Linked DNA regions of Lepisosteus oculatus. The protein of the gene in region 1 interacts with the protein of each later gene in a pairwise test. Links are inferred from orthologs where the notes say so. Each region holds a gene or a part of one and is shown on either strand. Other genes may lie near its edges. The genes, in order: agtrap, pdhx, ndrg4 and mrm1.

Region 1 (7,356 bases):
TAAAGCGAATAATGTGAAATATCTGCTTCAAAAGCTTCATAGCCTTTTAATTTGAAGAAACATTATTGGCAAATGTTGCGATCAGTCAATGTTTGTAAACCACCACTGGGTCTAATCCTAATTCTGTCTCTGACTCTAGCTCTGGGCTCAGAGTTAAGGTTGGAGCTGAGGTTAAGGTTAGGATTTAGAGTTTGAATTCATGTAGTGTAGCACTGGAGTATGAGTTAGACCTTCAGTTAGGCCTAGGTTAAGGGTTGGAGCAAGGTTGTGCTTAATGTTAGGATTGGGGTATATGTGAGAGTTAAAACTAAAATAAGGGTAAGGAGAAGAGACAACCTCTTGAGAATAGCTACACTGTGGGAGGTATTCAAGATAAACAGCAAAGATTATGTCAGTGTTAAGTTTAAGTTTGGAGCTATGGTTAAGTGCTGGATTAGGGTTAGGCTGGATGAAAGTTTGGAAATTGGGTTGGGGAGGGCTTGTGTTTAGTGTTTGGATTAGTGTTGCAGCTAAGTGTTGTATGGGATAACATGAACTACTCCCAGACCAGCCACACACTGGCTAACTTGTTTTGCCATTGTACTATATTTTAGTAGTCCTACCCTCTGCACCCACTTTTGAAATCGCCTTCATCACTGCCCCTGCCACCACCCACACAGTTCCATACACTTTCACCTTTCTCGCTTCCTGCACAAGCCAAGAAACTCTTGATTTTTATGCAAACTTTTATCAAATGATTGATTTTGCTATTTATCTCACCCGACAAGAAGATACGGGTATTTTGACATTCACAATAGACACAATTTTTACTTATTTCACTGATTTGAGATCAGATCTTTCACAGAGTGACTTTTGTAGGCCTGTTTGTAGACAGCCCGAGAGTTTTAAAATGTGCAAATTGATCTTTTTTCCAGAAGCTCCTCTGTTAATTTCAGGTCAAAGATAAGCAAGACTGCTGTACATTATTATTGCATGTTGTAATAACATAAAGATGCATTTCCTCTGTTAATGATATTTATTGACTTATGAGATTTAGTAATGTCACAGATGTTATGACCTTGAGTTCTGGGTGGCCCACTAAACTCTTAGTATTGATCATGCATAAGTTGTAATTTAAGACAAGCTAAATATATTGACAAAATTATTCTCTGATGTGCTGCCTTTTCTAGCTCATAGATACAAGGATACAGTGCTTTGGGAAGATGTATTTTGTTGATGGAGCTTGTATCCTATTTTAAAATTCAGTAAACCCTCAGTTTTATGAACTAACAGAGGCAAAGTGGTGTCAGGTATAAGTCTGTTAAATAATGTAGAAAATACATACATATATATGCTTACTGGGTCTTTTAACTTTGAATGGCTACAACACAGCCAGTGAAATTGTCCATGTGCCTTATGTAAATATACTAGCTCTTTATTTAGTGTACTGTAAATATATGGTATAAAATTTGCTAAAGTAACAAAACATAAATAACTTCCATTGTAAGCAATTGACCTGGATAACAGTACAAACCAATGAAATATTTATTTTTGCTTTGTTTAATTATTGGTGCACTTCATTTTTGTGGGAAAAGTCCGATAAAAAGAAAATGATTCACTAGGAATAACAGCACCCGAGAATTAAGCGTCCTGAAGGGATTATGGGGTGTTTGATGAAAATTTGACTTAACCTGCTTGACTGAGGGCTGACCCCTTACATACACAACAAAGACAACACCTATGAGTATTTATAATACAAGTGTGCAGTAGAGCTTCTGTATTCACCTGACCAATGAATACAGATTTCTTGAGTGTGTGAAGGAGTGGGACAATTTAGTGTGAAGTAAAAGTGATTTCTTCTGTAACTGACTACCTAACAGTTTTGCAGTGCTTCTGCAGGTCAGCTCCTAATGAATACCACTGCCAGGCACTCCAGAGTTGCCCCACCCCTCTGATAGTGAGGTGGCCAAGCCCAGCCCATCTCCTCATATGCATTAGCTGCAAAGTGTCTACTTGTATTCTTTTTATTTTCATTGAAAACTATAAAAAAACAATGGAGAAAACAAATGAATGAACGCCCAGTGTGGGTGTTGGGCTGCTGGAGCTGAGGAGTTTGTGATGCGTTTTGCATCTCCAAGAATTCTACCTAATACTGTATAACTGAGACCCCTTTTCAGTGCCAGTGAATCTGAGCCCCGTGTGAATCTCAAACATTCTCCTTAAGAAAGAACATGGATATATACAGTATATACTGTATGAAACATCAGAGCACCGTGCCAGGACTGTTCTGAAGCACCAGGTTGGTGTTCTGTAATTGTGTGCAAATGTCTTGCTGTACAAATCACTGCCTTAGCTGATGGAGCATCTTCACAGTACAATACAAGCTGATGCAAATGTGAGAGGCAATGATGTACAAGAGGAGTGGTATGAGCACAGAACAGATCACATGTGGCAGCTGACACCCCATGTGTTCCCCAGCTTGATTAAAGACGTTTTTGTATCTGTAATTTTCCAGCAATCAGACAAAGCAAGGTGCATATTTCTCATTACTGAATTGTTTATTCTGAGGTACGATTGTCTTTCACACTACTCTTTGAAAAACACCTTGTTTGGACAATGACACACGGGCAGAAGATGGACATTTCCTGTTTCGAACTGTTCCTGAAATCACCAGTATTCTGCTTCCCTCGTCTGTATTCCTCTGCCCCAGAGCAAAACAGATCTCGTACCAGAATGCCATTATGGAGGTGCTGCTTCTGCTGGCCATTCCACGCATGTCAAATACAGCCCTGGGTCAAGGCAATAGGATCACTAGAACATGTGCACCTGCAGCTGAAAACAGAGTAGGTCCACAATTTGTTGCTACGTTACATTAACAATAGAAGGATTGATCCCACATCTCAGAAAAAAATGAATGAATCTGTACGTTAAACAGGTGTAGCTGGGCCAGCAGAACCTCAAGGAGAGAGGAGGTCTGCAGGAGGAATGGGGGAGCAGGGACAGAGAGGAAGAGTATAACAGAGCCTCTCCACCGCCCCCTCTCTTAGAGCAGTGTCACCGAGCTCAGGGGTCACCGGGTCAGCAGGAGGGGTGATCCTGCCACAGGACCCCGCTCTTTACAACCAGCCCACCATCTGCTGTGCTTTTTGTAGCCCAACAAAGGAGGTTTTTAAACAGCCAGGCGTGAAAGAAGAGACTAAAGTAGAGAAGAAAGGCGCATGGCACACATTTCCACACACTTGCGGTGGGGCCTGTGCGCCGCTCTTTGATTTATAGACCCCCAGTCTTCCTGAAATTGGGAGCAGCAGAGGTTTCCATGACAGCTGCGGGCTTCTGTTTCAAGTTTATGAACATCCAGATCATGTGGAGCCTCCGGTGTCTGCTGTAATAATAGAAGATTAATTGGTTTGCAAAAAATGGTTACAAAAGTAATTAAAATTGTAATCTGGAACGTCTTCAGCTGCTTGCTAGTGTAATAACACACAAATAATGTAAGATGGGGACACAATTCACTGAGCCCAAGTTTGATTTTTTAATGAATTAAACAAGGACAACTTTTTAAGAACACTGAAGTTTTAATCAACAGATTTCAAATTATTTTATTAAGGAACCTTTTCATAGTAAGCTTATACTAAGAGCAGTCATCAAGGTTTACTACAGCTGGGGAATTCCACGCGTGTATTTCACATTTTACAATGCTTAACGCACCTATTACTCAATTCTTCATGACTCACAGACTTCATCAAAGTATCTTGCTGTATGTAACAAATGCTTTTGCATATATTTAAAATCTTAACTTCTCAAACTCACTCCTCACTGAGGTAACATTGCATCTATCTGCCATAAAAGGCAGCATTTCCAAGTGTAATGGTATGTTGTCTGTTCAGCGCAGAGATTTGGGAAATTCCTGGTGTGAACAGCTTGGAATAGAGACGTGCTCTCACCTGAAAAAGCAAACCAGTGTGTGTGGGCACACAGCGGGGCTGTGACCAGTGACCAGAGGCCGGGCTGTCATTACAACAGAATGACCTGCTTATTGAAAGGAGTTTTTTATTTTTTTAACTTTGAACACCTTAAACCACCAGTGCAAAAACACACCAAATACTAAGTGAATATGGATTTTAAATACCTGCTTTCTCCCTGGTATTAGAATAGACGGATGAAGATACATCCACATCCACATCCACATCCACATCCACATCCACATCCACATCCACATCCACATCCACATCCACAGAACCAAGAGGACCAGGAACTAGGAAAGTACCCTGTTCTTAAGGGCAGTGCAACTTTAAAGGGTTCTAAGCAGAATTTCACCCAATCATCTTTCAACACCCCTTCACTATTCCGCATCTAACGCAATTCCTTCGGTGGGTGAAGGCGGGGGATGAGGCTGCTGACGTTCACGTGGTGCTGTCAGGGTGGGCACGGTCACGTGGAGAGAGTCAGGCTGCCGTCACATGGTTTGTGTTTGCAGCTCTGCCACGGAGGGCGGAGACCGGGAAGTTCAGAGAGAGAAATTACGGTACTGTACTTTTATATGATTTCTGTTTGGACGCAAAAGCAAAAAAGGCTGAGTGGGAGTGGATAGACACTCGACAAGAGCATGGAAATTCCAGCCATAAATCTTAAGGTAAATATTAAAATTTGGATTGTTTATAGAAGTGCATGAACAGAAAGACAGACAGGTCTGTTAAATGTACGTCAACGTGCAACTGCTTTCTGTTTCTGTAATTTGCATTCAGTCAGTTCAATCTGATAAACCGTAGGAGATAATTAGTGGCATTTCTTATCCTGTCTTCAGCAGAAAACTGTTGATTTCCTAGATTAAACTGTATGTTGTAGAACATTTCATCCTATAAATGAAAATAAAAGTTTGTTTACGTGTAGTTCACGCTAAAAGTACACACAAGCTCCAAAGGGCTTATCTTCTGTACATCTCTACTTTTAAATGTAGAGCTCACACGTTTAGGAGAACTCATAAATCCACAACACAAGAAGTGACAATTTTGCGATCCGTCCGGGGGCCTGATTTTACATCTATGCGAGTGGCGCTGAATAAACTCTTTGCCACTACCGGATTATTATTTTATTATTAGGTTTTGGATAGCTGTAATGAACCTCTGTCTGCCTCTCCCCACAGGCAATTATACTGGTTCACTGGCTTCTGACAGTATGGTAAGCGGCTTGATTTTTTTTCTTTTCAAACAGCTGAGGAATTTCTCCGGCTGCCCTACTGCCGTTTTTAATTTTTGGAGGAGGGTATATGTACTTTCTAACCTTCCACTACCCCAACCCGAAAATAACTTTCTTTGCTTTTCAAGACTGCAGTGGTGCCTTCTCTAGGTTTTCTTTCGCTGCCCAGAGTTTTCGTGTTGACACCCAAAGCAGTGAATGATATCCTTTCCCTTTTCTTTTAAGTAAGAAAAGTAAGCATGTTGATTTAAAAATATATATATATATTGTAAGACCAGTCAATATGGGTTTATTACAAATCCTTATTATAGGTTTGAGGTTCAGAACTAAATATTTATTGTATGTAATATGTGTGGTTTTATATTGATAATCTGGATTATTATGGATTTAGGTCCGTATTCCTTAAACACTTTCTGTTGTGTACCTAATTCAGTGAATTTGCTAAAAGAAGAGAAGATTTCCCACAATGAGGAAGAAACTTTGGTATTTCTGACAATATGTATAGTTTACCATAATGGAAAAATGCAGAAACTAAACATTGCATTATTATTTTACTATTTGTATGACCCTAACCACTTTTTAACTATTCTCTTGTGTGGTTTATGCATCTAATGAGAAACATAACCGTCGGTTGTCGATTAAGAAAGCCTAGACTGAAAGTGAAGTTGAATTGAGCTGCAACAGGAAAGTAACGTGACTCAGTTCTCTGCTGTTAAAAAGGAAACAAGTTTACACAATGTGTGTTTTGCAAAGCGTTGTGTCCACTGTTACGTACAAAGTTATTGGTTGTAGATGTTCTGGGAGTTTTGATGAAATAGTTACAAGAATGGAACTCCACAATAAGTTAAGGAGCCCTTTTTACAGCTTATTACTGTGTGGTATTCTTAATTTCTCAGTATGAAAGGTAGGTCATACAGCACAGTGACAAAAAGGCACAATGAGTATGCTTGCAGTTTGTGCCACTCATAGAGAAGCCTCTGAATTATTCATATTTTAAAATTTAGACTAGCAAAATGTATGAGTATGAATAGAAATTCATAGAAATCAATGGGTTTTTTTGTAGCAATAAAGGCTATTAGCATCAACACACAGTAAGACATCTGGCTCTGGGGTTGTTGTGAAGCGAATGTTGAAGTAGAGCTGTCCTGTGCTGGTCTCCAGGGCCTGTATGTACATCTGGCTGCCTTCATCCTACGCTTGGGGTAACTTCAGTGTCCTGGCAGTGGGCGTCTGGGCTGTCGCTCAGAGGGACTCCATTGATGCTGTACTCATGGTGAGTTGGAAGACTTTCCACATGCTCCCTTGAAAACGATGCCGCATATTTGTTTTTTGACAAGTTGGGGAATGCACCCAATCAGCTAAGATGACACCTTTTCACGGCAAAGCCTTTGCTCCAAATTAAACCTGCGTTGTTGTACAACGGGTTAAAAGGAAGACAGTGTTGTGAATGTGTAGCAGCTCAGAAACACACAGCCCACATGGAGGAATGCGGCGACCTCTTGAGATATTGCACCATTTAACTTTACAGGAATCAGGACGTTGTCCGTAAGACACACACTGTAATGCATTACGCAATGTGGTGGATTTGGTTTTAATTTGCTTTCCTACGGTTTAAAAGTTGCACTTCGGTCAGCTTCCTGTAATAGCCTTTAGCTGTTGTGTTTCCCAGCGTGATTCCCAGTGCTTACCTACCTTGTCCTCTCTCCCACCCACTCCCACGCCTTCTCCCAGTTTCTGGCCGGAATGGCGGTGACGATATTGACCGATATTATTCATCTGGGAATTTACTACGCCGCAGTGGAGAGCGGCACGCCCCCCGGATTGAGGGACACGTTCCGCTTCTGCGCCGGCATGGCCATCCTCAGCCTGCTGCTCAAGCCCGCCTCCTGCTTCTTCGTCTACCAGATGTACCGGGAGAGGGGAGGCGACTGCAACGTGACCTTCGGTAAGCACAGGGCCTCCTCTGGGTCGGGGCCTGGCTGTGGGTCTGCTCCCGAGCCTCGGCCTGTTCTCATGCAGTCGTTGAGACAGGTTCTTTCATTTCTGTTTGGTATTAAGAATTTGACACCTACCAAACACTGCTGTGGATTGTAACAGGCCAAACAAGTTGAAGGAGTTTCTACTTGAGTAGGCCTGACTGCAGACGCTACATTTCCCTTGAACTCAGAAAGGATTTTCTGG
Region 2 (7,512 bases), on another chromosome or scaffold:
CCTCCATGGTGGGGGAAAGAGCTGGCATCATCACTTTGACTGGGGCCACTCCTGAAGGACAGAAGGAAACACACCGACTCTTACAAGCAGCAGCAGCCACAGAGATGGGTGGAGGAGGAGGGTTACCAATAAATAAATTAATTCTCACACTTTATGAATCGTACAAAAACTTTACGGGACTATGTATAACCCAATTTATGTGACCCAAACAAATGTAATGTTTAAGGTTAAAAAAAAATCCTGGAGCAAAAAGTCCAGGTCTAGAAAAAACAGCCTTAATGGTACTGGACAAAAAAAAAAGAAAAAAGAAAGAGAGCACTGTACAAAAAGTTGACTGGATGATTCTAAAGTGGGAAACCACACATGAAGGGATGTTCCTGCAGATTTTTTGATGACCCCAAACCACAAAGTATAAAGCATTTAATTTAAAAGAAGATTATGGTTAAGGTTTGTAAAGCATTTGTAACACATGAGTTTGAATATTGTGCTTAGTTTTGCACACTATTCCACAAAAAGGATATCACAGCCATGGAAAGAGTTCAGACAACCAAGACAAACAAGAGTCCTTACCTCAAGAGGTACTGGTTTATCCAGACAGATTAAAAGAGCAGCATGTCTTTGCTTTTAACACAACAGAGCAAGAGGAGATGTATTACATGTGTATAAAACTGTAATGGGTACAATATACAGCAAACATAGTTAACCCAGGGGACTACTTCACCAAAAATGAATACAGGATCACAACTGGAAAGTAGCAGGGAATTAATTTAAGGTAGACTACAAAAATAACAGAATCCTTCTTGACAAAAAGAGTTGTGGATTTCTGCTCTCCCAACCAAGTAGCTGAGGTCCCAAACTACTTCAAGAAAAACAAAATAGACGATAGACTGGAATGGTCTAAGAACACTCAGGGTATCTAGATGAAGGGTCAGAGCCAACTTTACTTCTTGAGGAGGCTCAGTACAAAAAGTAAACCGTGATTAAAAAACAATTGCAAAGAGACTTTGCTGCCCCCTGCAGCCCCTTTGAAGAATCACAACAAAATGGAATTATTGTTCATTACTATTGCAATGATCGAATTAGCACTTCTTTTAAAATGCTTTCCACCCAGTTGTTCTGATTGCTTTTTGTTAATGAGTTCTACGATACCTTTTAAAACCTACTAAAGACTAAATCGTCAATGACACCATATCCTAATAGTACATGATGCTTTAGATCTAGCAAGTTAGACCGGTATAATGCATGGTTATAAGGAGAAAACAAACTGCATTAGAGAGATAGCCATGCAAAATTAAAACATGTAGCACTGATGAAGGCAACATGAAGGCCATGCAAAGGAACAGTAACCAAAGCAGTAACAAGAAAGGGACAGCCAACCCCAGTTGTACTAATCGACGCTGTGTGATGCAGGGCCTGAAGCAGAACATCATACAAAGGACTGCTATGCTCTAAGGGGGCAGACAAGCATGCCTTGAATGTTCTCTTTTTTTTCCTGCAGAATTTAAAGACTAATCACAAAGTAGTAACAATATGACACAAATCATGTATGAAAAATGATAGGAGTTCATAATCACTTGGTAAGGATTACTCTTTCATCTTCTCACTACCTGGAAAGATATAATGAATAAAATAACAGGATGTATACTGCAGCTGACTGTTCTCACCGACACTTATTATTGATGGCCGATTTTCAAAGTCTTGGCTTTCCATTGGATGGAAGTCAGAATCATGACTAGAACACTCAATAGCACTCACTTTCTGTTGTTCCACTTGAATGTAGCTTTGGACTCATTTTGTGGGTCACTGCTCTGATGAAAAGCGAGTTTTCATCCCAGTTTTAGGTTGGCTACTATTCTATCACATAACCTTCATATTGCCTTTGTCTCCCTTTAGCAGACAGAAGACTTTTTTTTCTCCTTTAGACAAGCAGCACCATAACATAATGAAAGGTAGAAATAGTGTTGAGTGGACTATGCAGTTTAATATAGTTTTGTTCATATACTCAATTTTACAAAGTTTATGTAATAGAAACATGCAGGGATCAGCAACAAGGTGGTGAGGTTGCCGTTAACTAATGCTACAGCAAACATGCTGATTACCCCCAGCCTATTCCAACATAAATCAACAACAAGATATAACATAATACACATAAAATGCATATTGTGAAGTAGTCCAGCTGTATAGCTGCGTTAGCATGCGTAGGCTGCAAAGGAACAAGAAAAGGTTTATTCCTGAGAACACAACGTTTCGGCTATGGAGCCTTCTTCGGGTGTGGACGGTGGAGGAAGGGTGTGCCACCGGAAGAAGGCTCAACACCCGAAACGTTGTGTTCCCATTCTTCTCTTTTCAGCAGGAATAAACCTATTGCTTGATCTAATGCACTATATAAAGAACTGCAATGTTATGTTTATGAATTAAAATCTAAACTCCTAATGTGTACAGTAACTTGAGATGATCAACGTTAAATGTCCCCGTCTGTTGTCTATTTCTGGCTTGTACGTGTACTACAATTTAGAAGGGGAACCGTGCGTGCTAGTCTTAACGCTTTAAAAACTTTAAAACAGCGTAAAAATAAAATACAGCAGTACAAGTAGCACACAACCTTCCATTATAACCCAGCCAGCGATGTGCGTTTTGGTTTTTATCATGTGACACGCCAACACTTACCAAACATTGGTGAGGACTGAAAAAAGTGCCGATAATATCCATCCTGAGTTTGGGTTAAACCGGTGCATTTCTTCAGTTTTATTAACCTCAAACCACTCAATATCCCCCGATGTCCCATCCGCAAGGAGGCCGCCATATTTGTGTCCTCGGAAATTACCAGTTACCCTACTGCCTTTCAAAGTTTTGCGTTTCTGAGTGCAGAAATGAATGGATACGTTTTTTACTGCATGTTTCACGTTAGTGCTGTTTAACGAAAATATGACATTTTCCCACTTATTTTAAATAAAACAATTTAAATTTAGGCAGGATAACTAACTACAAAAACAAACGACAATTGTGATAGAAGGACCCCATCCATGAGAAGAGGTCCTTCGCGCTTCTTGTCGCTTCCTTTATACGCAAAGCCTGCAGATCTGCGCAGATCTCACTGCACTCGGCGGTCGGGCAGGCAAGAGCAGAGCTGCATGCAAATTTCGACTGCTAAGCCAGAAAAGTCTGCAAACTCCGCACTGTTGCATATGCGCAGGCAAAGCCCAGCCCTTCCAGTTTAATTCAGTGTAGGTGTGTTATACAGCTCCCTCCTTAAAACATTATCAGTTGGTACCCAAACACCCAAGCTACTAAAAAAAGTAGGAGGAAGTAGGATATTAACCCTTGCTGGATTCTTCTTGTGAGGACCAGAGTTGTGCACCTGTGTTCATTTTGCCCTTGAGTTGTAGTTGATGTAATCTCCACCTCAAGCCAGGGGTTTTCTTGTGAAAATGTGTCCCCTGGACACAGGAATGCGGCATGTCACACTGTAACATGTGGATTTCACAATGTAGAGTAAATAAAGCAGGTTGGGATGATACCTTTTCACATCCACATCCTGCTTACCTCATCTTTTGCTGAATAGGTGGTCACCTGCTCCATCTCTTATTGTGTTGGATGAGAAGGGTTTGTAGCAGGAGGAGTTCCTGCAATGTTGTGCCTGCTTCTCTGCTGTATTTTGACAACCTTTGTTTCACAAAAATACATTGTGAGGGGGGAAGAACAACAGACTGGAGGCACACCTAAGGTAATTTAACACTTCTGACAGTAATTACAAGTGCAGTGTCAGTATATCTCTGGTGTCAGTTTACCTCTCTGGTACACAGAACCCCAGTTCCTATAGCCTTTATAGGTTAAATCATTAGCATCTTAGGAACACTCATTTGTTTCTCAATTAAACAAAAAGAAATGTTCAGTTAGTTTAATTCTGGTACTTGTGGGCTGGATAATATTCAGATTTTCAGAGCTGCAGATGATCCAGCAAGCTGTGCCTCACGATGATACCAGCAACATGCGCATCTTGTCTTCCAGAGTTACCGAGTTTACTGACCGGGGCTGCGCAGTGACGTCACATACGACGTCACATGAAGCGGACCTGTGCAGATCTGTGCAGACGCTGCGCAGACTTATGCAGCAGGGAGCAGCAGGGAGCAGCAGCCATCGAAAACCAACATAGTGGCTGTACTGTTTAGACTTTCTGTGCCTCAAAAACGTGAGGGGTGGGTGGCGAGCGGTTTTCGTTTTCATCGTCCTGTTCTTTAAGGCGTTCTTGTGACCAAGTACACGGTCAAGGAACGAAAGCAAGTTTAGGCCTTAATTTAGGCATTAATTTTTATTTGCCGAAGAGTATTGCTAAAAATGTCTTCAGCGGTCTATAATCGCGACTGCTCTAAATGTGCCCAATCTATTGAGGTAAGTTTATCCAAAGTTGCTTTCTCAGAAATATAAAATGTGTTTACGTTACGTAACAATATTGAAGTTTTCCCCCCCTTTAAATCCGGACAACGCGAATGTCGATGATATAAACGTCGTTTACGCTGCCATGTGGTCAGCCTGCTTTTAGAAACTTTCAAGCAACAGACGCACATAATGCAATGTGCTAATTGTCCCTTTTAGCGTTTATTCTGTGGTATTGCCGCTGAATTATTATGACGTTCCACAATTAAATAATCACTCACGTGACAGATACCTTCGACATGTATTTTATTTGCGAGTTGTGGCCTTGCACAATTAAGAAATGAGCAGTATATTGCAACAAAAACAGCACAGATGTTGAGCTGCTCTGCACCGGATGGTGGTCAAGAATACTCCCTAGTGCCCTACTCCTTGAACTGACTGGACAGTAATGGAATTTGCTTGAGACAGAATGAGATTGCCGTTTGTTTTAGTGAATATTTTCCATTCCAGGACAAGGACAACCCAAGGTTGCTGATTCCTGAGCTCTGCAAACTCTTCTACCAGTTAGGCTGGGTGACAGGAACAGGAGGGGGTATCAGTCTCAGGCAGGGGTGAGTATGCCAAGCCTGAAGCTTAGAAATCTGGTGTGGTCATCCAGTGTGCAGCACCAATTCAGAGAACAAATGCCATTTCATAGAAAGAGTATGAAGTGAAGACAATCTTCATTCAGTTGTGCCCATTCAGGTTTGGGAAGGTGTGAGAGGCCGGTGACCCCAGACAAAATGTCTTCAAGGTGTAACTCGCCTTGCCATCTGGGGACAGAGCGCAGATCCTCCACTGTGCGTGCTGCGCTAGGCGTGAGGAAAGGAAGCCAGAGGCTGACCCTGTCAAGCCTCAGCCCTTTTAAATTCTCACCTGACCACTTGTCCTTGCAAACCGAATCTCCATTTTGTCTGGAGTCACTGCCCTCTTACAGGAGACTACCGTCTACTCTCTCAGCTGTGAGCCTAAATAGTAAGTCAACAGTGTGCTAAATCTACTGAGGCTGAAGCAGTAGAAGCATGTGCACTACAATGCATCTATATCACAAATGTATAAAGAGGTTGTCAAGAGGTAAACAGGATAACAGTGTTATAGGAACAAGTAATAGGTTTATTCCATGTTGAAAAGAAAAGAAAAAAAAACACGTTTTGGCCGTGGAGCCTTCTTCAGGTGTGAATGTGTGTAACAGGGATATTTCATCAAGATAAAATCCCTCCTGTAAGTTACTTTAAAATGTGTCTGATTTATACTGGTATGTTTTTTTTTTGAGGTGAAGACAGTCCTTTGTCATGTTCATGTGTTAGATTAAAAAAAGAGTGTCCAGGTGATATAGATTACATTCTTTATTGTGGAGAAGACAGGTGTAACTTCTCATTGGATAAAGGCAGTAACTGTCTTGTTCAGTTAAAATAAAGCAAGTAGTTCTTGTTACTTCACTTAGAAGCAAATGCTTAATGAGATTGTGTTCTGACTGTATCTCTCTGGCCTACCCCTTCAGAGATCACATCTACATTGCCCCCTCAGGAGTGCAGAAGGAAAGGATTCAGGTCAGTAAAGATCTCTGAGGAACTGCCTGGGACCTGTAACTGAATACCTTTTGAGTTTAATGCCTTTTTTCTCCCCTTGACATTAGGTGTCTGGTTAATGTATCTTATCTCAGGTATCTAGTCGGATAATATTTTTTTAGCTTTCATATAAGTCAGATATATCCTAGTACAATTTTAAATACAAAAAAAACAATTTTACCAATAAAATACCCAGATTGTTCAGAGTACGGAGCTGTGTTGGCATGTGAGCTTCAAATTAAAAGTTAAAGGTTATTTCTAAACTAAAAAGTAAAATAAGGACATATTTGTGGTGTATTAAGGAGAAAGTGTGTTGGATAGCAGAATGCTGTATCTTCTATGCTGTCTTTCTCCAAGCATGGAAGCAGTAGATTAATGCTAAGATCTCCTAATCTCTAGAGTGCTAGCAATCAACTACTGCACTTTCTGCATCACTTTGCAAACTTCCTTCCACCACAAATTAAGTGTTAATGTATCTTCCACCCATTTCCAGAACATAAACTTTAGTGTCAGCTACCCAGGACAAAAAAAAAACGTCTGTGTGTTACAACCCATGATAACTAATTCACTCAGTTATCTTCTTTTACAGCTCTTTCATGCGTGACACACAAGCTGAATTAGAATTAGTGTCTTTAATTAGAAAGGAAAATAGCAGTAAATTGTCAAAATACAAAACAAAACCTAACTGCTTTAGAGCCCTAACAAAGCTCTTCTCAAGTTTGTCGCTGAGCACAAAGTTTGGCAGAAGTACTGTTTACTAGCACCATCATATGTCTATATACTTTATTAATCATTGTCCTACTTGTCATGTGTAGATTCTGCTCTCAGGCGTTGAAAGCCTTTACTTCCTTGTTTTAGGTCATCACTTGGCAAATTGTCTTCCTTCTACTAGTAAGGTGATAAAAGGCAGCAGGTTATTCCCCACGTCATTCTGTAATTAAGCTGTATTTATCTTAATTATGTTAGCAATTAAATCTGATTAATTTAAGAAATATTGGCAGTATGGCCTCTGCAGGCATTGGGGGCCACACCTTGAAGCCACCCAAAAGAAGAATCCATGCTCCTAAGGCAGCTCAAGGAGTGCGAGGGGCTATTGGCCAGCCGACATCAGCCGCTCAGTGATATGTTGCTATGTATACTTATTAGGTTTCAAATGTTTCAAACTGGGTAACTGCCTTTCTAATGAAGGCTGTTGCTTTGAATCAGTCGCATAAAAATCAGATATTTACTGTAGGGTCTTTAGGAGGTGCCGGGGAGCAATCAGAGAAGGTATAGCCACAATGTTTCTGGATAGCAGGCTCCAGAGCGGGGGTGACAAGGGAGGAAGGATGAGAGGGACAATAAGACAAAGAGGGGGACTAGGCGACAGATAGGCTAAGTCTTGGAAGGGAACAGGGAACAGCAGAATCAACAAGGTCATCAATCAGTTCTGCACTGCAGTGTGGTAGAATGCTAAGTGAAAAGGTGCAGTTGGAGAGGGTGGGTTGCTGTTACAGGCAGGCGAGCTAGGAGCTTGATTAAAAACTCTTAA
Region 3 (8,007 bases), on another chromosome or scaffold:
CTGTTCCTTTATCCGAGATAACTTACTGTACATAAATCCCCATGTGGTCAGTGAAGCATCACAGTTTTGCAGATGACGGTAACTTCCACAGTGCAACACGCAGAGTGATGCAGGAGCTGCAACACTGTGTATGGAAATAAGGAATGATGCCACAGCCAATGGCTGTGCAAGCAAGATACCGTAACAACAACAACGTTTGTAAAGGTCTTTACACATAGCAGAGATCTACTTCATCACCAGCTGAAGAGCAGCACCCATTTCTCCACAAGAGGAGAATGGAATCACGATTGTAGCTCAAGGATTCAGAGCAAAAACATGAAAATATGAGAAAAAAAAAACACTTCTACAGTCGGGCAGCTTGGTGAGGTGCTGGCGGTGAATTGCAGCTTTTGAGGCAGACAGTTGGAAGTGATGTGTTTTGAATTCATGCATCCCTGAAGGGAGTGAGATTTAACAGTAGTGCACCACTTCTGCTTCAAACATGCAAAGAGGTGTAAAAGCAGTGTGTTATAGGTTATTACAATTTGATTTTTATTAATTACCCAGAATAACTCAAAAGCAACCATGCAGACGCCTTGCTAAGAGACACTGTGCAGGTTTGAGTAACTGTCCTAGCTCCAACTGCTTCTGTAATTCTGCTAAACATTGATTATAATCAGTTTACAAAAGCGTGGCTCATGCTGAGACCTTTTAGTGTGCAATGTTTAGTGTTCTTTGTAAACACGTCATTTGTCATTTTTTTCTTTTTGTTCTAGAAACCCTGTTAGTTTTCACCTTTTATGGTTCGCTGTAGATGTACAGTAGGAGAGTGAAAGGCAAACATTGTCCGTAGAGCAATGCTGTGAGTCAGAGAGAGTCCTGGGGTGCCTGAATACTGGCCACCAGGATCTGTGAAATACTGTCGGCTGTTAACATACAATATAACAATGGTTTTCAATAGCTACTGAATGAAGATATTAACTTCAGCTGAAATACCGAGAAAGCAAAAAAAGCTTGGAATGAGTATGGGTTTTTACTTGATGATATGTCTGTCGAAGGCTTTTATGGGATTTAAAACATCTGACACTTTAAGGTCACTGTGATTTGGACCCATCCAGTAAACACACTGCAATGGCAATAATGATGGCTCCTCACAGCTGAATGGCACTGAACACTGTCCTATACAGGGGCGACTTTATGTTTTGAAGGTGAATCACTTTGTAAAAATCTCCATTCCTGCATGCCGGCCCATCTAAACTAGATGCTCAATAATTTTCTGATTGGGTTTTTAGATGTCAATTTTCATAGAAACAGAAGATCAGAAAGAGATGTGTTGAGATGTTTAGGTAGTTTATACTGTAACGTTTGTGGAATTCAGCCAGTCCACCAGGCCCGGCATTTTGCAAACAGCACAATTGGAATCTGTAATGACTCAGGTCTTGAAGTGGTCAGGTCCTCTGTGTAAAATCTACTCCAGAATGGCATCTTCTACAGTATAGTGTCCCCTTTCCTAAACTGGAGTTTTTGTTTGGAGCTTTTGATTTAGAGGGAACGGTCCCACCTGTCTGCCTGTCCACACATCCTTCATCAGCCTGAGCTTCCATCCAGTTACTGTAGGTCACCTTGCAGAGTGAAAGGATTTTTTGTGTTACTAAATGCACAAATACCTGGAGAGTGTGTGCCAGTGTTGTTCTTGTATTCTGCTTTCTTCCAACAGTTCAGAAAAGCTTTTTAGCTGAAGGGCAGATGCCCCATGCTGTGGAGTCCTCAGACAAGATGCAAGTTTGTGAACTTCAGCACAACTTGAATTTAAAACATATTCCTGCCCACCACTACTCATGACTTCCATCCCCAGTCGTTTGGTTTTAGATGGCAAATTTCATAGAATAATCTTTTGCATATATTGAGCCCTCCCCTGTCAAACGAACACTTCTTGAAATGTTCACCAAGTTCCATTTGCAAACTGCTGGTACAATTTTGACTTGGTTTTGCCTTAAGTGTTGTGTATTCAGTCAGCTCTTTCATGGTTTCTACACACTTGCATTACACATGTACGGCACCATTCCTCTCTGGCCTTTACTCTCCACTTGTTACAACATTGCTGTGCTATACTAGCTGGCATTGTGCTCTTGCTCTTGCATACCTCAGTGTGAATGTGAAAACAGGCCCCCCCCTACAGTACCTCTTTTACAATTTCTGGTTTCCAAAACCTTTCTTAAATCAGCCTTCTGGATGAGCATCTGCATCCGGCCCTGCATTCTACACAAGGATAAGCCTAAAATATATTGTTAGTTTATTCCTACTGTGTACTACGTGGTGTGAAACAAATATCATATGAACAATCTTGAGCAGAAACCCAAACAAATCATCAGGCCTAAACCAGTGCCATATAGCATTTGAACCCTTAAATGCACTCAATGTTAATATTGATCACATTTCTGTAATATTATTCTCCAGGATATCCTAAGGTAATTTAAGACCATTTTGAATACATGTTTTTTTTGTCCATTGGTATTTTGTACTCTAGAAAGTATTTTTGGATGAACCTCAACAAAAGTGTTGAGAAAGTGTTAAGCTGAGAGTTGAGGTTTGGGTTGAACTAGGGTTAGGAAGACTGTAAGGCTGTTACTGTAAGTAAAATAGTAAAACTGTGATATTGCATTTGTTTCAAGAGTAAAACACCACATTTCAATGGTGAAAGCAATACCTCCCCTCCTGTATGCTTGCCAAGGGGAATCCTTTGGAATGTGAAGTGCTGTATAAATGCAATTAATGATCATTTCCATTTTCTGGGCCTGATTGTTTTGTTTTTCTCCTATTGTTTTTTTCTGTGGAGGGGTGTGTCTGCTGCTCACAGCCCTTGGATCAGATCAGCAGTTTCACAGGCTCATGTCCACAACAGGTCCGTCATGCAGAGGGCAGCTTGTGCAGGCGCTTTTATTTTTAACTTAAGATAACCAAATCCAAGAGCAATGTTGACCTTATCTCTGTCCTGCCCTTGGGCTTTGAAGAAACAGCTGTGGGGTTGTTATGCCTAACTGGTTCCCAGCGCAGGAGTCTGTGTCCATCTGCCTCTTGCCTCCTGGCTGTGAGCATTTATCACTGCACCTCCTAACACCAGCCTGACAGAACCAACCAGTTTGATTTTGTTGATCTAACCAGTAAATTTGAACAAAAGAGAATGACAAGACTGCAGCCTTGAGCCAAGATGACTGTTCTTCCTTATAAAGAACAACAGAATCAGACTTGCTTGCTCCTGAACTTGTCTTCATCATTAGGACAGGCTAGCGTGCAACCTGCCCATCCAGGACCTGTGATACATCACCCAGTAGAATTCATTATGTCGTGTAAAGCTTGCTGAGTCCCAAGATCAGGAACTCAACAACTACATAATGCTTGGCTATGGAGCCTTCATTCATTCTCCATTCTGGATGATCCCATTTCTTCAGGGATACACCTCCACAACAGTACAGGCGCCCTTGACATTACAGCAGCTGATTTGATGTGCTGTTCCTTCTTAGATGCAGGCTTAACTTTATGGGCTACTCTCTTCTAAGGCTCTTGGGTACCATTAACCGTGGCAGTTTACAGAGAGAGTTCTTTTCCTTCTCATAAAATTCCTTACACTCAGAGCACTCCAAGATTCACTCATTCATCCCAGGTGAATTCGAATTCGGATTCAGCAGCTCTGTCTATTTGTGCATCCAGGTGGATGCTGCACATTGGTGGTGATGGAGGGGAGTCCCCATTACCTGTAAAGCGCTTTGAGTGGAGTGTCCAGAAAAGCACTATATAAGTGTAAACAATTATTATTATTAGTAACTCGGCAGCCATTTTGGCTCAAGAGTGCCCGGGTTTGAGCCAAGATGGTTTCCTTCCCAAGAGAAATCATCTTTGTCTCCATCACAGCTCTACATTTGCAGTTCTCAGTTGGGTTGTGCTTATTTGCGAACAAGGGTAGGTTATGGGGTGAAGTAAAATGAGCAGGTAGGCAGGTGGGTGAGCTTTGGCCTGTGGCCTGAGGCCAGAGCTCTACACAGTGCATTGCTGGATGGGTCTCCCGTTCCTCTCCTGTTGCCTACCTGTTAGCTCAGATGTACCATTCTCTCCAGAGCGAGATTCCGATCTGATCAGGGCTGCCTCCGCTTACCTCAATCTGTTCAGGGAAAGGAGAACAAAAACAGCCCTGGGTTGAGTCTGCCTGTGCAAATACAGAAAAGCCACAGTAACTTGCAGGAGAGGCATCTTGATCAATCCCTCTGTACTGTGTGTTTTAAAAAAATGCCTCCAGAACTCCAGAGTTGTGGAATGACCAACATAGATTAATGTTTTTTTTTCAGGTACAATGAAAAGTCACAAAAATGCTGACTTCATGTAGACTTCATTATTATGATTATAAGTGTCTTATTTCTCAAGCAAAAAAAAAATTGCTGTAAATATTTTAGGTGTTCAGGTTCCTTGTTGTTTAAAACTTGGTAGCAGTGTGTCATAGACGGAGATATATCAACATAAAGATGCTGCTGCAAGATTAGCATGCCCCAGAAGGGCCTGAGGCCTAACAAGTCTCAATTCTAGTTTCAAATGCATGTTACATAACATGCAACAATACCAATAGGAGTTTAAAAGCAAGGAGACTATCGCCAGCACGAAACTGCTGTTTCACAATTAACAATCTAGTGAGATATACAGCACGAGGGCAGAAAAATGAGCTTTTAGTAGAAATCACAGAGAAACATGATCTCAGATGGAGAACTCGAGGGGAGAATGAGGTACAGTATTGTAGCAGCAAATGTGAAAGACAGGCTAATTTATAATTAACTCTGGGGGGGGGTGTTAGACATGCACAAAAATTTTCACCTAAACCATTTTATAATGAAAACACTCCTAAGTGCCTGTGTGGGTGTTATTTTTTTTTGCTCTGCTTTCATCTCCCTGATTCGTTTGAGACTGGTGCCAGAGAGCTGCCTGTCGCAGTCTAGGTCTCTTCGTGGAAGTAGCCACCTCTCTCTCTCTCCCCTCCCTCCCTCTCTCTCCCTCTCATCTCCAGCCTCACAGAGCAGGGGGAGTCTGCACACTCGTCAGTTCCCCTGCCGCATCACCACAGACGCACGTGCTTTCTGTTTATTGCCTCTCAGAACAAGCCACCCAGGCGCGTTCTCCCAGGGTAGGCTGTTCCTCGCACACAGAGGCCGAGGACGAGAGAACAGGAGACACGAGCACAAAGAAACCAGCCTAAACCACATCACAACAGGTAGGAGACTTTATTTATCATCTGCATGGCGATCAGCTGTGGGCTTTAAACTGCACATTCTGTTCAGCACCGTGGAGTTATTTTTAATTTGAATTCTTTAATCTGGATGTGCTGCCGGTATGATCAGGGGAGCTGTATTGCAGTCTTACACCCAGATTTCTGAGCTCATGTGTTACATACTAGTCCATAATGGGCAAGACTGGCATGGCGTCAGTGTTCCACGATCTGCGATGGCATCAGGACACCATCAGGTGAATTAATTAACCCCTGAAGTTCTGCTTTAAATGGGAAATCTAAACACTGGATATGTATCAAAGTAAAGACCTTATCAGAATACCCTCTGTAATGCCATGCTTCTCCTCTGGCTAAACAGGAGATTCTGAAATTCAACAATACAAATTTTAGTTTTGAATCCAGTGTCTCTTATTTTTACTGGTTTTATAAATATTGAAGTGACGGGCAACTTTGTCAAAATGTTCGTAAAGCACAGCTCAGTTTATCAAGTGGAATACAGGATATACACAATTCCTCGTTAAGTGGTTTCTTTTTATAAGCAAAGAGCTAAACACTTCTAAATTGTTAGGAGGCATTTAGGTTAAAGCTGTTGTTCTGGGGATATAAGTTTGGCAGGAGGAGATTGCTATGTACAGCACTGAAATAAAAAAAATATTGCACAATAAATTGCTTGAGAGATGTGACATTTCTGGATTATTGAAAAAAAACAATTTAAAAACCTTCACAGGCCCTGTTTTTCATCTGCCTTAATTCACAAGCAACGTTTTTTATTTGCTAGTATCAGATTATCTGGAGCCCCACATGGGGCTGTGATGGTGTAAGGGAATCTTCAATGAAAACCTTTATTAAAAAAACATTATACAAAGGAAAGATCTGGATGAACATAAAGATATTTAACTCTTTCTCCATTTCAAGAATCCAATATTGTTTGGAAAACATGAAAGAAAATGATCGTGAAGCTGTCCGATTTAAAATTTCTTAATTAGTATTTACATGCAAACTATGTGATATTTGTAAAGATATCTGAAATAATTTGTATGAAGCTGCTTTTAATCCATCTAACATAATACAGGCTGGATATGTGATGCAAGAGTGACATGCTTGATTAAAAAAGATCAAACCAAAGTCATTTACATAGCAAATGTTGGAAGGGGTTTGTTTTTAACAGACTAGTCTTTGTGAAATCTACTGGGAAATCAGGAATACATCTAAGGAGAAATAGTTGAATATTTTCCAGATTCTGTTGCATGAAAAGTATAAAAACCCTTTATCTATACAACTCGCTAAACACAACAATCGTGTTAATTAGAAGTAGTATGTCTCAAATAATTACATTTTTTTAATTTAATTTTTATAGAATGCTCAACTACCCCTTCTGTTTCTTTATTCTCTTATTCTTCACTATCCCCAAGTCCTCATGCTCCCAAACGTGTACTGTAAGTAGTAGAGTAATTCCTTGAATATGACGGATATTAACCGTCAATCAGATAACTGAAAGTAGCAGTGCTGCATTGCCCACAGGAAGGTAGCCCTGATATTAACCAAGCATATACTGTAGGTGCGCAGTCAATCACAGAAATGCCTTCTGAGTTTTATTGTTAGAGGTGCCCCCTGCTGGGCCAACCTGCTCCTGCAGTGCCGGCGTCCTCAGCTAGGTTGGTGGTATAGTATGACCGGACACTGCCGGACAAAGTCAGCACCACCACACAACACCACCCGGGATTTCTGGGACCCGTCAACACTCTGGAATGAGAGACCAATATCAGGGGATGAGCCGCTTGTGGGTTCAGAAGAGTTTGATATGGAAAACTCTGGCGATGAAATCCCTCTTGCTTCTGTTCCTGGGCAATCACAGCTCTGCAGGCTTTCAGATAATCAGATGGGACATCAAAGCTTTAAATCAAGCTGTCATTTTGATCAATAAGGCAGAGCGAATCCCCATGTCACCCTGTACCTGGAGACCCAGGAGTGAGTATTTCTACTCTTATTTGATTTTCATGCCGCTAGGAAGACATGCAACCCGACAGCATAGATGCCTAGTCAATCCCACCTTTTGAGGCTTTTGAGCTTCAGGCTGTGATGCCCAGGATGTTTCAATTGATTTTCTTTTCTTGACTTCGTTTTTTTGTCATCCCACTCTCTCACTGTGACACGTCCAGGCAGATTTAATATCTCTTAAGAAGACGACCATCCAATTACGTCTATGTTGCACAATCTGAAGAAGAAAGCATATGCAATTGAGTTCTTTAACAGAATTCTGAATGTTATATTTTTAATACAGTTGTAAATTATTTAGTGATCTCTCTATAAAAGGTGACTTGGATAACATTGTATTTATAATCTTTTGTGTATATACAGTAGCACCTTTCATGACATCATGACATGATCTGCAGCACATTAAGCAAAAGCATTAGAAACCTATTGGATTAATACCCATTTTAATACAATTAATAGATTTAAAAGCTAGAGAATATTTTTAAATTTAAATGATATAGGTGTAGGCGGAGTTAACTGTACAATGATATATTCAAGGTGTCCTGTAGCATTTTTAATTTTCTTCTGAAATCCACAATCAGAGCAATTGCTGTGCTGTTAATATAAACTACACAATGGCTGTGTAAAGTGACATCATATCATATATAATGTATGTAAATTATTCTAGTTACATATATTGTTAAGAGAGGTACAAGAAAAAAGTTGGAATCAATGTCATGCAGTTATCTACAGCATGCAAAGCAATGTATGATACCACAAGACATTAA
Region 4 (7,872 bases), on another chromosome or scaffold:
TGCAGCATAGCAATTTAATTCATTAAATGGTTTATCTGAAGCAGTGGTAGATCTTCGACTTGAAAGCATCGATCCGACTGCACGGAACCTTTTGAGGACGGGAACCAATTTTATTTGCCTTGTAAGACTTCTTGACGGATTTAACTGCCTGAATTCAAATCGATTCCATTGAAGACTTGTGTATGCAGTTGTGTGTGAGACGGGATCAAAATCTTGCGATTACCAATCAAGTGCTTGAAAGAGAGTAGCCTTGAAGTGTGAAATGGGGACATCTACTGGAGAAAAGCAGTGTTACACGTAAATAAAGAGGAAAACAGGAAGTGAATCCGACACTCGCAGGGAGGTGGTTGTAAAACTGGGAGGACAGTGTTTCTGAAACAACCCAAACAGCACAGTTAAACTCTGCAGCGCGGAGTCGGGTGATTGAAGAGCCGAAGGAGAAATGGCCGCTTTTTTAACTGCGATTGCCCTGGTGGTTTTTGTTTACTTGCTCATTTATTACGGCGTGTTTAAAGGTCAGGTGTGCAAAAGCACCGCGGTGCTGAAGGGAAAAACCGCGATTGTAACAGGTGAGCCAAGCTGTTATTAATTATAATGCCAGACGCGTGAATGAGTATTCCTATGACCAGCTCTCCTAGTGAAAGCCCTGATGCCACTCTCTGTGGTTTTCCCTTAACTTCAGCCGTGCTTTCCTGTTCTCTGCAGCGTGTTGTTTCTAAAGCTAGATCGCGTGTTTTCACCTCCAAAAAATTCTTAGTTCATTCATTAAAACTTTTTTTCTCAGTTTTTTTTTGGATACAGGATATTCATATTAAGATGACAAGATGTATTGCGAATATTTTACTCCCTGAAGTCCATGGTCTGTTCGGTCAGGGGCGATTTCGTACTCCTGGAAGATGATATTGTACCTGTGCAGTTGAAATGGTAGCTGTAGTGTTGAGTGTTTCTGCTGACATGAGTCATGTCTAGTGACCCATTTACGCGCCCTCCTTTTCTGAGGACCGCACAACCTTAAAAATGTTAGCACAAAAACGCAACACAACCCGCACATTCGAACATAACCTTTCCAGGCTGGGATCTAGCAAACTTTTGCAGCGCTGTCCGTTTCCACTGCACGCATTAACAAGGGAGGTAAGTCTTGCAACGGTGTCGATGTATGAACTCTGACCTTTGACCCCCCCACCTCTGATTTCTGACACCTAATGTCCTCGGTGTGTTTCTCCTCCAGGTGGCAACACAGGGATTGGGAAGGCCACGGCTCTGGAGCTGGCCAGGAGAGGGGCCAGGGTCGTCCTGGCCTGCCGCAGTAAGCAGAGGGCAGAGGCGGCCGTCTATGACATCAGGAGGGTAAGAGACCTGGTCTTTTCCTCTTTGTGTTGTCGGGCAGTCTCACACAGCAGTGAAGGGGAGTGAAGAACTGCACTAGCTGGGAATTTGTCACAGGAATTCGGTGTGCAGTAGTTCTGTCTGGGTTGGCAGTGCGCGTTACAGAATTAAGAGTGACCCGTCCCGTTGTCAAAGCCCCTGACCGGAGGGCCTGCTGGATCTGTGACAGTCTCCCTGGGCCTCGCTGCCTGCACACACGCTTGTCTTTCAGGAAACCGGCAGCAGTGAGGTGGTGTTCATGGAGCTGGACCTGGCCAGCCTGCAGTCTGTGCGCTCCTTCGCCGAGACCTTCCTGAAGACGGAGCCCAGGCTGGATCTGCTCATCAATAACGCAGGTGGGGCCCGGGGAGGAGGAGACCCGCAGGACTGGGCTCGGCCTCGCAGACACAGCTGGGCTCCTGGAGGGGTAGAGCCACACTTTGTATTGCAGTACGGCCCTTCAGAACACACCGCTCAAAATAGGTTTCCACCACAGACCCGTGACCAGGGACATGAGGCACAGCTGTCTGTTCGGTCGAAACGCTTCCAGTCCGCTGCCCTTCCTCCAGACAGGCAGCGGACAGTGTGCTGGGACAGAGCTCCGCCGACACTCCTCTGTGCTGGCAGTGCGTGAGTTCAGCAACAGAGCAGAAGCACGCAGGGCCCACCCATAACATGGAAATCTAGACTGCTTTTGCATGCTTTGGGTGTTTCTCCCTGTACTCGAACATCTTGGTGCAATGAGACCGTATGACGTTGCTTGAAAATTAGAGGGTAATTTAAGATACGACCACACATCCCTGTTCCGACTACACATATACTGAAATTAGCTTCTGGGAGATGGGGTATAGAATAAGGTCAAGCTACCATACATAAATCAGCAGTATGTAAGGATATGTGTCTGTGTATTTAACAGTCTTCCCATGGCTTTCTGACTGCCTCAGGTATGATGGGTCCAGGCAGGACTGCGGATGGTTTCGGCATGGCCTTTGGGGTCAATCACCTGGGTCACTTCCTGTTGACCTCTCTCCTGCTGGAGCGGCTGAAGGAGGGGGGTCCGAGCCGCGTGGTCAACGTCGCGGCGCTGCTCCACCGCCTGGGCGATATCGACTTCGGCACCCTGAGCACCCACAAAGACCTGGTGCCCCACCAGTCCGCCTGGCAGAACTTCAGGGCCTACTGTCACAGCAAGCTGTGCAACCTGCTCTTCACCCGTGAGCTGGCCAACAGGCTGGAGGGCACCAGCGTCAGCTGCTACAGTCTTCACCCAGGTCAGTGCAGTCCCAACACGCCCACTGCTCCAAATCTGCTTTCAGTGTACTCATCTCAGCTCTGCCGTGCTGACGCCATCCGCCAACAGTTGAAAATGCAATGTGCAATGTCTTGTGCTTAAGTCACAGGGGTCTATGTAACACATTTCACTATGTAACACAGTTTTGACGACAAATACTGCTTGTTAACTGCGCCTGCAGATCACGTTGGAACGTTTCTGCAGTGAAATGTCGGCTGCACAACCCATACTTTTTCTCGTACATCTCATTACATTAGTCATCGCAGGGACTAGTGAGCAGGAAGGGCCGCCTCGCATCTCGGTTCACATGAATCCTCTCACTCGCCCGTGGTGAGACCAGCGGTTTCCAACGACATGGCGACCGTACAGTACGTTCACAAAGTTCACGACTTTGTGCTGAATTCAGAATTCGTAAAATTACCGTCGGCGAATTTTATTTTGTAGCCGAGATTTAATAGCTGATCTGAGAATCTGAGGCTGCAGCTTCCTTTTAACGTGTGTTTTTAAATTAAGGATAGCAAGGAGTCTCGGCTGCCTGACTTCTGGTAATCAGCAGCGAACAAAAAGACGTTTCAGCTTGTTCGTTGTTGCACGAGAGATAGAAGCGTAAAACGAAGTCATCTCGTTTTCAGTGCCTTGGGAGGCTCTTTTGTGATGCGGTCTGCAGTCGTGGTTGTGACATAGAGGGCTGACCCTGCTGTCCTGTGCTTGCCGGCTGCAGGAGTGGTGGACACAGAGCTGGCCCGCGGGGTGGTGCCTCTTCTGCTGCCCGTGGCCAGGCTGTTCTTCCTGGACGCGGAGGCCGGCGCCCAGACCACCCTGCACTGCGCCCTGCAGGAGGGCATCGAGCCCCTCAGCGGGCGCTACTTCTCCTGCTGCTCCGTGCAGGAGGTGGGGGCCAAGGCCCGGGACGACGCGGTGGCCAGGAAGCTGTGGGAGGTCAGCGAGAGGCTGACCGGCCTGGCCTGACTGCACATAGGATCTCCACCGCAGACGAGGGAGAGGAGAGGGCGTCGGGATTTGGCCAGAGCTCGGTTTAGGGTTAGGGAAACTGCAATGCTGTGAGAAACTACTCTTCCATGTGTGTTCAAATGCTTAAATTGAGAGAGTGTGTGAGTAGACTTCTTGTCAAACATGACTTGAATATATCTCTGGGGTTTACATACATTTCATGATGAGAACAGGCTTTTTGGACCTTGAGTTTCCTAAATGCTGAGGACCAGATTAAACGAGAAAAGTTACCGCTATGCACACTATAAAGCATGGCTGTAGTGATGCAATTACTGCACTGATTGACAACAGGCTTGGCCGATTCTCTCACAGCCTGGAGCTGAATTCTGGACGATCTCAGCGCCCACAGCCCCCGAAATGTGGATGGTGGATGTAAATGAATGAAACGTTTTTCCTTCCTCGTATGGACGGCCTTTCCTTTGCATGGTGCTCTTCTGAAATTGGTGTGGGGGCCTCGAACAGGCTAGGTTTCAAGAGTGCAGAGAGGCACTGGGACAAGTGTGGGAGGTTTTTCCGGTTGTGCTGGATGGGCCTGTAACACAGGGCTGTTCAAGGGATGGGCGGCACTTTAATAAGAATGTAGCAAGTTTAGATTTTACTCGAGATTTGATTATATTTTTATTTTGCTAACTGGTTAGGAATTACCTGTTGGCATACATCATAGTTTTTATGGTGCCTCTAACTTGATCCAACATGGGTGGTGGCAAATTCACTCATACTGTTGCCTTCTGGCTGAGCATTTTAATCACATTTCTAAACCTCTGTGTCCGTGACCACAAGGACATTTGTTTTTCAGGTCTTAGAAGGTGCGCTGTCCTTAGAAGGGGAGACTTTGGTTTTTGTTTTTTGAGCCGCACGCTACTTCTGCTTGCTGTGCTTAATTCTTCTGTCTCCGCACGCGTCTGGTTATTTCTGCCTCGGTGTCTTGTCTGCTAAGTCCGCTTCTTCCAGGTCGGACAAGCTAAAAAACCCTGGAATTTCTGCCCGTGTTTCTCCGTGTAAGGAGGGTTAAGACTTTTTTTTTTAGAAATTTAAAAATCGGTTGTATTGCCCACATTGTCTGCCCAGCGGCTGTGGCTGAAACTGAATAAAAAGTTGATTTTCTCTTAGATTATTTCTTCGTGTTGATTTTCACTGAGTATGGGCACTGTTGCACGTTTATTGTAACGAGTGGAACAAAATTAAGTCGAGGGGCACTCTTTCAGTGGTAAGGGACATGCAGAGTATCCTGTAAATTCTCACGTTGAACCAATTCAGTTCAGATACAATATATAGCTCTTTTATGTATTGCAGAAATATTCAGAGGAGCAGTGTTATTGAGTTACCTGTATGAAACTGGGCATCTCATTGATGTTCTTGCCTGAGTGAAGTAAAACCCAATATTATTATATTCCTGCAGTTTCTTTCAAACCGGTAACATTTACCATTAAAAAAAAAACGCGAGAACCCTGATTTTTATTATGTGTTTAATTGTTGCTGTTTGGTCAATGGCAATGGGGTAAATTAAATGGGCGTCTTTTCTCTGGAGTGACGGAAGAGGGCGCTGTTTAATTTGTCGTGAGCGCAGAGGGTGGAAGTTGTTTCCTCGGTTCCTCGCGGCGGTGTTGCAGGAAGGAGTGTGATGTGTGTGAGTCCCGTCTTTTTTTTTTTATAAAAGGGGTGGCATTTCTTTTACATAAATTGGAATATGGGCAAATAACCTGAAAGGTGCCGGGTTTGTCCGTTAGAAAGTTTAAAAGACTAATCTCGGAGATCGAGAAACGCTGCTGCATAGCTGTATTGCGCGACGTTTCACTCCACGTGTAAAATTGCTGGGATAATTGAACAACAGAAGTACGAGGGTGTCCTGGTCATTGATTGCATCAGGAGCAGTGTTCCAAAATACATTATGTGTTTAAACCCTACCTTTGCTAAACCTTACACGTACTCTAAAAGGGTCCACATGTATATCTGATTTATTAGTAGAGTCCCTTTTTAATTTTTACTTTTAATAAAACATTGCCAATTGCCAAAGACTGACCCATTTTATCGATAAAGAGCTCGGTGTCCTTGCTTTACAAATAGTATGCTCAGATTCTTTAAGAACATGCCTCCTTTGATATCTCGTATGGAGTAACCTGCTAACCAGGTTACACAAGGTGGTGTTGTAATGAGGGTTTCAGTTGGTTACAAGCAGACTATCCTAGAGGGGATGAGTGAATTCACTGAGATCTGTTGAGGAGTGATGACAGGGTTCACCTGAGCCAGACCTTGTCCGTGTGGGTGTATGTGTAAACGGAGCTGAATTAAGATCCGCTGTGTAGTCATTTCAAACTATACAGAAATTTGAAGCAGATCTTTCATGCATAATGGTCCCCATCTTTTAATTGGTGTCATCACTCTGCTCCCCTCCTCACCGAGAGCTGGTGTGTGGTGAGAGTACTGGTTCACTATGGCTGCCGTCGCATCATCCAAGTGGATGCTGCACACTGGTGGTGGTGGAGGGGATCCCAGATACCTGTAAAGTGCTTTGAGTTGGAGTGTCCAGAAAAGCTCTATATAAGTGTAAGAAATTAATAATAATTATTATACATGAATGATTTATTTTTCTAGGCATTCCAGGATTGAAAAGCACTAGAAATTCTTTTTTTGGGGGTTCTTTAAAATTTACCTCCAGAACATGAATCGCAGTTGGAGTATTGCCCTCTCGGCCCTTGATGAACCTCTTAATTCAGCTCTTCAGTTCAAACTTGTGACTTGAAGTGGGGTATCCAGAAAACGTGCTATATAAGTGTAAAGGATTAATTATGGTGGGGAGCTGCGTCAGCATGCGTAGGCTGCAAAGGAACATGCTTAAAATCGCGCATGTTTCAGAGGTGGCCTGCTGTTCTGTTTCAGTCTGAGCCCGGCGACGCGTGTCCTGAGAATGAGGTTGTGGCTGGGGAGGAGTGCACCCGTACTCTGTGTGAGCAGTCTGAACAGAGCCACGGGGGTGATCTGTGAATCAATAACCCGTAGTCCCCCCTGGCAGTCCTATCATGCCTCCCTGCCACACCTCTCTGCGCGAGACAAGGACGGGGGGTCACGGAGAGGTCCCGGCGGAGGGGCCCGCGATGGCTATGGCGCCCCCTGTAGGCTGGGAGGTCAGTCTGAGCGCTCGGGAGTGGGGCAGCCGACCTCCAGGAAGAGCATGAGGTTCGGGGGCTCAGCCACAGCTGACCTGGGCTGCAGAACCGGAAGCCGGCTCTCCAGCGAGCTCCGGAACCTGAGCGAGGAGGACTTCCCCAGGAGGAAGCCGAAGGCTCGTGGGGAAAAAGCCCCGGCTGAGGCTGAACTCCGGGGCACTGAAATCGTGTTTGGCGCAGCCCCCTGCCTCCTGGCTCTCTCCCAGGGCAGGAGGAGGCTGTGCAGGCTCTTCGTGAAGCAGGGCCTTGCCCTGCAGAGGCCGGACCTGCAGCAGGCGTGCCGGCAGGCCCAGAGCAAGCAGGTGGAGGTCCAGCAGGTGAACCGGAAGGAGCTGGACAGGCTGGCCTCAGGCAGGGTCCACCAGGGCCTGTGTCTGGAGGCCAGTCCCCTGGGCTACCAGACAGACGATCCCGCCCTGGAGGGAGAGCCAGGCCGGGACTCGGCAGGGCCCCCTCTCTGGCTGGTTCTGGATGGGATCCAGGACCCGATGAACCTGGGAGCCATTCTGCGCTCTGCCTATTTCCTGGGGGTGGACAGGATCGCCAGCAGCCTGCGGAACAGGTACGTTCCAGACCTGTTTTCCAAAGGGGAGCTGCAGCCCCAGTTTCTCGGACCAGGGGGTAAATCTCGGTCACAAAATAAATGAATTAACGGTATCGCAAAATCTTACAAATTCAGAATTGAGCACAAAACCGGGAAGCAAAAAGTCGCCATGTTGCAAACCCCTTTGTCTCGCCAGGGAGAGAGTGAGAGTTCGTGCAAACTGCAACATGAAGCGGCCCTTCCTGCTCACTAGTCACTGTAATGGCTAACGTAATGTGTTGGACGAGTGAATAAATACAGGTTGTGTAGCAGATATTTCACCGCAGAAGTGTTTCACCGTCATCTGCGTGCGGAATGAACAAGTAGTGTTTGTCAGTAAAACCTCCTCGTAATATTTCTGTTGGATTAAAAGACGTGTTCACAAGCCTGCTTGTATGTCATGTCTAAGAGCCACTTCACCTTCCCGTACATATTGTTACCTTGTTCTGAGTCACAGA

Evidence for each region.
Region 2: the proteins of agtrap (region 1) and pdhx interact in binary tests that used the Homo sapiens proteins (3 or more experiments, as listed by UniProt). The two-hybrid records come from large-scale screens. The link is inferred for Lepisosteus oculatus from reciprocal best matches to the Homo sapiens genes AGTRAP and PDHX.
Region 3: the proteins of agtrap (region 1) and ndrg4 interact in binary tests that used the Homo sapiens proteins (3 or more experiments, as listed by UniProt). The two-hybrid records come from large-scale screens. The link is inferred for Lepisosteus oculatus from reciprocal best matches to the Homo sapiens genes AGTRAP and NDRG4.
Region 4: the proteins of agtrap (region 1) and mrm1 interact in binary tests that used the Homo sapiens proteins (3 or more experiments, as listed by UniProt). The two-hybrid records come from large-scale screens. The link is inferred for Lepisosteus oculatus from reciprocal best matches to the Homo sapiens genes AGTRAP and MRM1.

Annotation. Positions count from the first base shown.
Region 1 is NC_090720.1:5,640,909-5,648,264, reverse strand, and holds the start of agtrap (type-1 angiotensin II receptor-associated protein), read left to right. Parts: upstream 1-4,351; 5' UTR 4,352-4,366; coding exon 4,367-4,504; exon of another isoform or gene 4,505-4,585; coding exon of another isoform or gene 4,586-4,612; intron 4,613-5,122; coding exon 5,123-5,157; intron 5,158-6,336; coding exon 6,337-6,448; intron 6,449-6,906; coding exon 6,907-7,120; intron 7,121-7,356. UniProt on the Homo sapiens protein: Appears to be a negative regulator of type-1 angiotensin II receptor-mediated signaling by regulating receptor internalization as well as mechanism of receptor desensitization such as phosphorylation.
Region 2 is NC_090716.1:14,266,333-14,273,844, forward strand, and holds the start of pdhx (pyruvate dehydrogenase protein X component, mitochondrial), read right to left. Parts: upstream 3,008-7,512; 5' UTR 2,804-3,007; coding exon 2,668-2,803; intron 52-2,667; coding exon 1-51. Other genes in the region: apip (methylthioribulose-1-phosphate dehydratase), read left to right, coding at 4,336-4,389, 4,885-4,985, 5,915-5,963.
Region 3 is NC_090715.1:12,051,279-12,059,285, reverse strand, and holds the start of ndrg4 (protein NDRG4), read left to right. Parts: upstream 1-5,001; 5' UTR 5,002-5,230; intron 5,231-8,007. UniProt on the Homo sapiens protein: Contributes to the maintenance of intracerebral BDNF levels within the normal range, which is necessary for the preservation of spatial learning and the resistance to neuronal cell death caused by ischemic stress.
Region 4 is NC_090721.1:7,566,961-7,574,832, forward strand, and holds the start of mrm1 (rRNA methyltransferase 1, mitochondrial), read left to right. Parts: upstream 1-4,866; 5' UTR 4,867-5,290; exon of another isoform or gene 5,291-5,294; intron 5,295-6,544; 5' UTR 6,545-6,572; coding exon 6,573-7,393; intron 7,394-7,872. Other genes in the region: dehydrogenase/reductase SDR family member 13-like, read left to right, coding at 443-569, 1,229-1,347, 1,598-1,721, 2,310-2,636, 3,378-3,625. UniProt on the Homo sapiens protein: S-adenosyl-L-methionine-dependent 2'-O-ribose methyltransferase that catalyzes the formation of 2'-O-methylguanosine at position 1145 (Gm1145) in the 16S mitochondrial large subunit ribosomal RNA (mtLSU rRNA), a universally conserved modification in the peptidyl transferase domain of the mtLSU rRNA.